Linked DNA regions of Macaca mulatta. Each later gene encodes a partner of the first gene's protein in a complex. Links are inferred from orthologs where the notes say so. Each region holds a gene or a part of one and is shown on either strand. Other genes may lie near its edges.

Region 1 (4,095 bases):
GAGATAATGAAGAGGGGGTAGCTAAAAGCCCCTTCAGGCTATGCCTTATCACAAATGTGTGGGAAATGTTAATATTTTCCAGGATCCCCAGTGGGTATGAGGAACTGTTTAACACACTGTTTTATTTAAAAGGAAAGTTTTTAGTTTTATTTGCCTATTAATTCTAAGGCAGGGATGACTCTTCAATTTGCTTCTTCACCAATATAAAAAATGTCCATGTATTGGTGTTTACTTTTTAAAAGTAAGGCTGGTATTAATTTACTGCAAAGCACAGATGAGTTTACAAATAAGCAGTTATGCTTTCGTGGGATTTTCCATAAACATAAAAAATTGTACTTGAAAAAAATTATATGACAAGTCTCTACCTCACACTCCAAAAAGTTACCTTTCAATTATATACTCTCCCTTACACTACTCGCCACATATCAACGTTTGATTAACCACTTCATTAACATAACTTTGGACTAGTTTAAAGTAGTGAGGGATAACTTTTTACTTTGAACACTGAAGGCTGCTAACTTTCCACTTTAGCAATTTAGCTAGTCAGGTTTTATCTGTTCTGGAACAAGTAGATGCACTTACCTATTGTGAGGTCGTGGACAGGCTGGAACCGCTTATCTGTAAACTGCAGGAGGAGACATGACTTCCCCACACCTGAAAGAGAAAACACGCTCCCAGAGTCACGTAGCGTTGGAACACTACCCGGACTCTGGACTTCCCGGACCAGAGAAGCGGGGGGTCCCCGAGCCCCGCCCCTGGCCGCCCCGAACCGCCCCGCCCGTCTCGAATCGCCCAGCCCACAAAGTGAGCCCCGCCCCCGCCACCCAATTTGGGAGCTTCGGACGTCCGCCCCAGCCTTGAAGGCGAACAACCTGAGGGTTACCTGTGTCTCCGATGATGATATACTTGAAGAGATAAGCATAAGTCATGATGTCGCGTCCTCTGGGTTCCGGGTCCGCCCGACTTCTACAGCCACTTACCTCCAACCTCTCTAGCCACTCAATCTACCGATCTTCTTCTTCCCGGCCGCCCACCCTCTCCGGCTCCTCTAGCCCAGATCACGTCTCTATTGCTCTCCCCAGAAATCCTCCTTAGGTCGGGAGTACCCAACGCCACCTCCAGGGATACCTCTAGTACTTCTACATGCCATTATCCCTCCAAGCTCCAGGGGGCGATAGGCCACCGCCTGACTCGCTGCAGCCCCCACGGCGCTCCTTCCAATGAGCAGAGAGTAACGCACGTCCTTGCGGAAGTGACGGCAGTTCCGAGACCAGTGGGGGCGGTGGGAGCGATGAGGGTCTGAGACGGTGGGAGCGGTTGTGTGAAGATGGAGGTAGGAACCTGATAGCTAAGAAGGCTGGCGAGAGAACGCGGCCGACCGGGTTGAAGCAGAGACGGGAAGCCGGGTGGAGAGGCGACTGACGGGAGAGGAGAGAGCGCGGGGTTTGGGGAGTGTTGTCAGAATGTCGGGGTCAGAAGCCATCGCTCCAAGCTAATTCCCTGCTCCCCCTAACTTATCCCCGCGGCTTTCTTTTGGTTTCCAGTTTCCCGGAGGAAATGACAATTACCTGACTATCACAGGGCCTTCGCACCCCTTCCTGTCAGGGGCCGAGGTGAGCACGAGCTGCCGACGCCGCGGGGGGAGGGCCTGAGGCCGCGGTGGGGTAGGGTGGTGGGGAGGAGAGCACGCACTCCAGGGACGGGGGCTGGGAACCAAGGGCTGCAATTGGTGTTTAGAGAAAAGTGGCAGCTGCTTCTAGAGCCTATGGGGACTATCTGGGGAAGTCTTGGGAAGTTGCTGTCATCAGAAAAGCAAGCTATTGGAAAGAGATAACCTATTTAAAGAGAAAAGTGATTCTGGATTAGAAGACAGTGAAATTGTCTCCTTTTTCTGGGGAGAAATAACTACAGTAATCTTAAAGGATCGCAGTGGGAAGAAAATTTTTCAGCAGCTGAAGAAACTGGGGTGAGGGGAGGAGCTTACCTAGCAGAGGGTTGACCGTGGAACAGCATGTGTTCATTCCTGTAACGAACTCTGTTGAAGGGGTCTTTTTAAATTTGTTTCATTTATATTTCCTACTGGTTTTGTTTTGTTTTGAGACAGAGTCTCGCTTTGTCGCCCAGGCTGGAGTGCAGTGGTGCGATGTCGGCTCACTGCAACCTCCGCCTCCCGGGTTCAAGCGATTCTTCTGCCTCAGCCTCCCGAGTAGCTGGGATTACAGGCGTGTGCCACCATGCCCGGCTAATTTTGTATCTTTAGTAGAGATATAGTTTCACCATATTGGCCAGGCTGGTCTCAAACTCCTGACCTCAGGTGATCCACCCACGTCGGCCTCCCAAAGTGCTGGAATTACAGGCCTGAGCCACTGCGCCTGGCCTAAATTTACTACTTTAATAAAAAGTTTGTGGTTACCTTTACCTACACAGTGTCGGCTTGTTTTGCTAATGCCAGGAAGAAAGGAAATAGCTGCTAGAGAACATAAAAAGAGTTGAGTAGGATATGTGTTTCAGTTTTTCTGTGACTCAGACGTTGGGCACATTACTTCATCGTTGTATGTCATAGTTTCCCCAACTGTCAAACAGCTGTAATAATAGCTTCTTATGCTGTTTTATAGTAGAAGTAAAGGTTGTGATGAAACCCTAAAGTATTTGTTAAAAAAATCTGGTTGAGCCGGGCGCGGTGGCTCATGCCTGTAATCCCAGCACTTTGGGAGGCCGAGGCAGGTGGATCACCTGAGGTCGGGAGTTCAAGACCAGCCTGACCAACATGGAGAAACCGCGTCTCTACTAAAAATACAAAATTAGCCGGGGTGGTGGCGCATGCCTGTAATCCCAGCTACTCGGGAGGCTGAGGCAGGAGAATCGCTTGATCCCGGGAGGCGGAGGTTGTGGTGAGCCGAGATCGCGCCATTGCACTCCAGCCTGGGCAAAAAGAGGGAAACTTTGTCTCAAAAAAAAAAAAAAAAAAAAAAATTCTGGTTGAAATATTGTCATAATATAGATACGTATCACTTGTTTAGGAGAAGCAAAAGAGAACGGTGGAACAGACAAAAATTTCTGTCTTTGAGAAACTGAAGTCTTGAACCACGTGCCATTTTTTGAGGACTTTTAAATTTATTTTCAAAAGTGGTGTGGACCATTTGCATCAGTTTTTTGTACCAAGAATTGTCAGTGGCTGTCGCATGCGCTTATCCTATAATCCTAACGTTTTCATGGATGAAAATGGGGTTGACAAGGGGTAGTTGCTAGTTTAACTTTTTTTTCTTTTTTTGTCGGGGGGAGGTGACAGTCTCCCTGTAGCCCAGGCTGCAGTGCCGTGGCACGATCTTGGCTCACTGCAGCCTCCACCTCCTGGGCTGAAGTGATTCTTCTGCCTCAGCCTCCCAAGTAGCTGGGAGTACAGGTGTGCGCCACCACACCCAGCTAATTTTTTTTCTTTTTTCTTTTTCTTTTTGTATTTTAGTAGAGACAGGGTTTCATCATGTTGCCCAGGCTGGTCTTGAACTCCTGGCCTCAAGTGATCTGTCCACCTCAGCCTCCCAAAGTGCTAGGATTATAGGCATAAGCCACCATGCCCGGCGCCAGTTTAACTTTTTTGTTGCTTTATTAGTCTTATAAGCAGGGTAAGTGTGAATCTAGTATGTGGCAAACTTAGAAATGATATAAAACCTAAATCTGGACCCAGCACAGTGGCTCATGCCACTAATCCGAACTGTTTGGGAGGCTGAGGTGGGAGAATTGCTTGAGCCCAAGAGTTCTAGACCAGGTTGGGCAACGTGATCAAACTCCGTCTCTATAAAAAATAGTAATAATTAATTTAAAAAAAACAGCTGAGGCCGGGCGTGGTGGCTCATGCCTGTAATCCCAGCACTTTGGGAGGCCAAGGTGGGCGGATCACGAGGTCAGGAGTTCAAGACCAGCCTGACCAACATGTGAAACCCCATCTCTACCAAAAATACAAAAATCAGCCAGGCGTGGTGGTGCGCACCTGTAATCCCAGCTACTCAGGGGACTGAGGCAGGAGAATCACTTGAACCCGGGAAGCAGAGTTTGCAGTGAGCCAGGATCGCACCATTGTACTCCAGCTTGGGTGAA
Region 2 (4,296 bases), on another chromosome or scaffold:
GGTTGGGATACAGCCTCTAAGTTCTTTCTAGAAAGACCCCAGCTGTCCCAGGGTTTCCATTTTTTTACCATTGCACAGGTCTCTGGATATCACACCTTCCTAATAGCGACTGAAATGTCTCATAGCCTTTCCTTGTTTTTGTTTCTCTTTAGCTAAAGAAAGCAAAAATAAATAATCCCCATCTCCACTGTTGGAAACCCCAGGCTTTTTAACCTTTGGAGGAGCTTCACACAAGATAGAGATCTGTGAAGCTACATAGGTTGGCACTGAGTTTAACCCTTTGCCCATAAAGTTAAGGTTAGGAAGCTTGGTTCCTATTTTCTGTTCAAATACTGTTTTCCTTTGTTAGAGATAAACTTCTTTTAAGGCAAAGAATCACTTATATGATAGAACCTTTAGAATAATCCTGTTGACTACAAACAGGATAGTGCAACTCTTCCATATTTTGAATGTGGTGGTGATTGCATGACTGTGTTATGGGTGTTAGAACACTAGCCACTAAAAAGGCTAATTTTTGGAGGGAGACCGTCTGTTCTGTCGCCCAGGCTGGAATGCAGTGGCACGATTTCGGCTCACTGCAGCCTCTCCCTTTCTCAATTCTCGTGCCTCAGCCGCGCCATCATGCCCGGCTAATTTTTTGTATTTTAGAAGAGATGGGGTTTTGTCATGTTGGCCAGGCTGGTCTCAAACTCCTGAGCTCAAGCGATCATCCTGCCTCGGCCTCCCAAAGAGGTGGGTTGGAAAGGCGTGAGCCACCGCGCCCGGCCCAAGGCGGCTGATTTTTACTGTACCTAAAGTCTACCTCGATTAAGAACACCAGGCCGGGTGCGGGTGGCGGGCGGACTGCCTGAGGTCAGGAGTTCGAGACCAGCCTGGCCAACATGGTGAAACCCCGTCTCTTCTAAAAATACAAAATTAGCAGGCGTGGTGGCGCGCGCCTGTAATCCCAGTTGCACGGGAGGCTGAGGCAGGAGAATCCCTTGAACCCGGGAGGCGGAGGTTGTGGTGAGCCGAGATAGCGCAACTGAGCGACAAAGCGAGAGACTCCATCTCAAAAAAAAAAAAAAAAAAAGAGGTCGAAGCTGTCTAAGCGGGCGCTGCGGTGGACTAGCGGTCAAGCCTGCCCGCGAGCGGCTCACCTGATTCGCCCCCAAAACCGGCCTCCAGCGGCGTACTCGACCCTGCAGTACCCCCTCCCACGCGGCTTGTGGTCGGGAAGCCTGCAGGAGGCGCCAGAGCCTTCGCAGGGGTTGCAGTCTAGCGCAAGGGCCCTCAGCTCCCAAGGCACCCGCAACCTTCCGACCCCCGGAGAAGGCCCCGCGCGTCTGAGCCCCTCCCTGCCAGCGGCCAGCCCTGCCACTACACTCAGCCGCGGCCGCGCTGACGTCACCACCCCCACTCCCGGCCTCGCGAGGCCGTTCCCGCCCCGCCCCCTTTCCCGGCGTGCGCCGCGGCTAAGGCTCCTCGCCCTCAGCTTCTGCCTGTCGCCCCAAAATGGCGGACACAATGAGCCGGCTACGCGCCGGTTGTCCGTGAGGTGGCTGTGAAGACGAACAGACGGCGAGGCTCCGCAGTTCAGGCAGAAGACCCTCGTCCAAGCAGGAGGAAGAGGAGGAGGCGGCCCAACTGTTGGCCGACTTCCCTCTAGCCGCCGGCGCGGCGCCCGCCCCGCCTGGGTTGGCCCCTCGGCAGCCCGCCCGTTCGCCGCCGGGCCCCGCCCCGGTCCTGCGCCGCCGCTGCCTTCCTCAGCCGCCGCCATGAAGCTGACCGATAGCGTGCTGCGGAGCTTCCGCGTCGCTAAGGTGTTCCGCGAAAACTCGGACAAGATTAACTGCTTCGATTTCAGCCCCAACGGCGAGACGGTCATCTCGAGTAGCGACGACGACTCCATCGTGCTCTATGACTGCCAGGAGGGCAAGTGAGTGCGGCGGAGGCCCTGGGCCCAAGTCTCAGTGCCTCCCTCCCTCCGGTGGCCCAGCACTGGTCCCTCGGCCCGCCCTCCGTCCCAACTTCAGCCCCCGGCCTATTTTGCACGCGTTCCTGCCAGGGCCGCCTCCACCCCGCAGCAGTCCAGGAGACCTTTTATTTTTTCTTATTAAAAAAAATTACGATAGTCATAATTTTATAATAGCATTCTTATTTGTATGTTTTCGGTCTCCTTTGAGCGCTATGCATCGCTTGCCAAACCCCACCTTGACCTTGACCTTTAAACGCCCGGTCCGCCCACCGTGGGCCCAGCAGGTAGCGTTTTCAGCTTCTCAGGCTGTCAGAGGTGCTGGTCTGCTCCGGCCTCGACGCAGGACTGCAGGGGCTGCTCTCCTGCCTCCTTCGGCAGCGTCAGCTCGCTCTTCTGCCCTCTCCGCTGTGACCTCGATTCTGCCCTGGCACTCCGCCCATCCCCTGCCCCTCAGCTTCCCGCGGCCTTTCTGCCGTCAGACAGCGTGGGTTGCAGTTCTTAGCTGTCAGGATTTATTTGTTGTGCCTCTTTGAGCCCCCTTGCTTTTTCTTCGTGCTCGTAGCCTTTCTCTTATTCTTTCAAACTCGGTGCCCACGTTCATAAGTGAACTTTTCAGCAACATCTAAAACTTCTTTTTGCCACACACAAACGAACTTGGTCTTCCCATCCTGACCTGAATGTGAGCTTCCGTTAAAACAAAGCAAGCATCGTAGAACAATTTCAGGTTTCCTTTCATACTTTTTTTTTCTATTACACTTTTTGGTCCACTTTGAATTCCAGTTCTGATCATGAAACTTTTATGTTGCCACAAGTCATCTGGAGACCCACCATACCTGCATCTTTTCGCAAAATCTAAGCACAGCACTTTGACTTTTCCCCTGGGGGTCCTTGTCAGCCCCCTCACCGCACGCCTGTGGACTTGCAGCTCCTTGGAGCCAAAACTAGTTTAGATTAAATTTGTTTTACCCTTGCCACCTTCCCCAAGAAGGCTTGCTGATGTTTGGTTTAATTCGGTGACCTCTGGTTTTGTCAGACTTGATTTTGTTACCTAGTAACAGATACTATTATTATTATTGTGAGGTCTTGGGTTTTTTCCTACCTTCTCCAGCTGTTCCTTTTGCCTTTTTTTTTTTTTTTTTTTTTAAACTGGTGTCTTTCTTTTGGAACGTATCTCTTCATTTGTGAATTTGATTATCTGAAATAATGCTAGTTTGGACTGAGCTATAATGGTATCCCCCCTAATTTTTTTCCCACTGGGACTGTGAGAAATTATTACGTAACCGGCTCTGGATCTGCCTGCAGTATGTGGCAGAGTGGTCTGCAGTGGTGGTCTTAAGGAAGAGGGAATTGTTAGCTGAACAAATACTTAGTTATTTGAGTCAGTGTTACTCCTTGAGTAGATAGATTTCTGTCCTGGTCTGGTCACTTGAATCAGTTTAGAAGAGGAAGTAACACTTAAAGGTGTGGTAGTAGGGTCGGCATTGTGGGGTCCTGGAGGAGTAATTTGAAGCTGGCTTGCATGAAATGTTTAGTGCTTTTGCACAGATTAGAACCTCTTCCCAGAACCTCAGGATGGAGATATATATCCTCATTTAAAGAAAATGAAGGTTGTGATAGCCTTTCTTTGCAGTTTGTCCCCAAATTTGGCATAATTTTGATTTGGGAAGGATGACCTTGACGTGAAGTCCTGTCTTTTTTTTTTTTCCTTGTGTTTTTGGGACAGAGTCTCCCTCTGTTGCCCAGGCTGGAGTGCAATGGCATGATCTTGGATCACTGCAACCTCTGCCTCCCGGGTTAAAGCGATTCTCCTGCCTCAGCTTCACAAGTAGCTGGGATTACAGGCGCCTGCCACCATGCCCTGCTAATTTTTGTATTTTTAGTAGAGACGGGTTTCACCATGTTGACCAGGCAGGTCTTGAACTCCTGACCTCAAGTGATCCACCCGCCTCGGCCTCCCAGAGTGCTAGGATTACAGGCATGACGTGCTGCGCCTGGCCAAATCCTGTCTTGTTAAAAGTAAAATGCTAGTTTTGTGACATAAGGCAGTTTATTCACTCACATAGCATTTTTTACATAACTGCAAATGAACAGAAAGTTACAACAATGTTTCAGATAACTCCCATATGATTCAGTAACTGGTTACATTTTCTGCATTTGCTTCACTGTAGGTAAATATTTATATGTACTGTGTGCCTCCCCCCACCCTTAGAGTTGGAGGTATCAAGCCCTTTTATCTCTAAACACTTCAACATGGACTTTCTTTCATCTTTCTTTTTCTTTCCTTTTTTTTTTTTTTTTTTTTTTTTTTGAGATAGAGTCTCGCTTGGCCGCCCAGGCTG

The links. The genes of interacting proteins can lie anywhere in the genome.
Region 2: TOX4 (region 1) and WDR82 share a complex: the UniProt entries of both Homo sapiens proteins name them as parts of the PNUTS-PP1 phosphatase complex. The link is inferred for Macaca mulatta from reciprocal best matches to the Homo sapiens genes TOX4 and WDR82.

What each region holds. Positions count from the first base shown.
Region 1 is NC_133412.1:94,338,052-94,342,146, forward strand, and holds the start of TOX4 (TOX high mobility group box family member 4), read left to right. Parts: upstream 1-1,288; 5' UTR 1,289-1,327; coding exon 1,328-1,333; intron 1,334-1,544; coding exon 1,545-1,613; intron 1,614-4,095. Other genes in the region: RAB2B (ras-related protein Rab-2B), read right to left, coding at 583-654, 884-929. UniProt on the Homo sapiens protein: Transcription factor that modulates cell fate reprogramming from the somatic state to the pluripotent and neuronal fate. In liver, controls the expression of hormone-regulated gluconeogenic genes such as G6PC1 and PCK1.
Region 2 is NC_133407.1:115,807,042-115,811,337, reverse strand, and holds the start of WDR82 (WD repeat-containing protein 82), read left to right. Parts: upstream 1-1,489; 5' UTR 1,490-1,519; coding exon of another isoform or gene 1,520-1,757; coding exon 1,758-1,918; intron 1,919-4,296. Other genes in the region: uncharacterized protein LOC106996905, read right to left, coding at 1,140-1,454, 1,520-1,759. UniProt on the Homo sapiens protein: Regulatory component of the SET1/COMPASS complex implicated in the tethering of this complex to transcriptional start sites of active genes.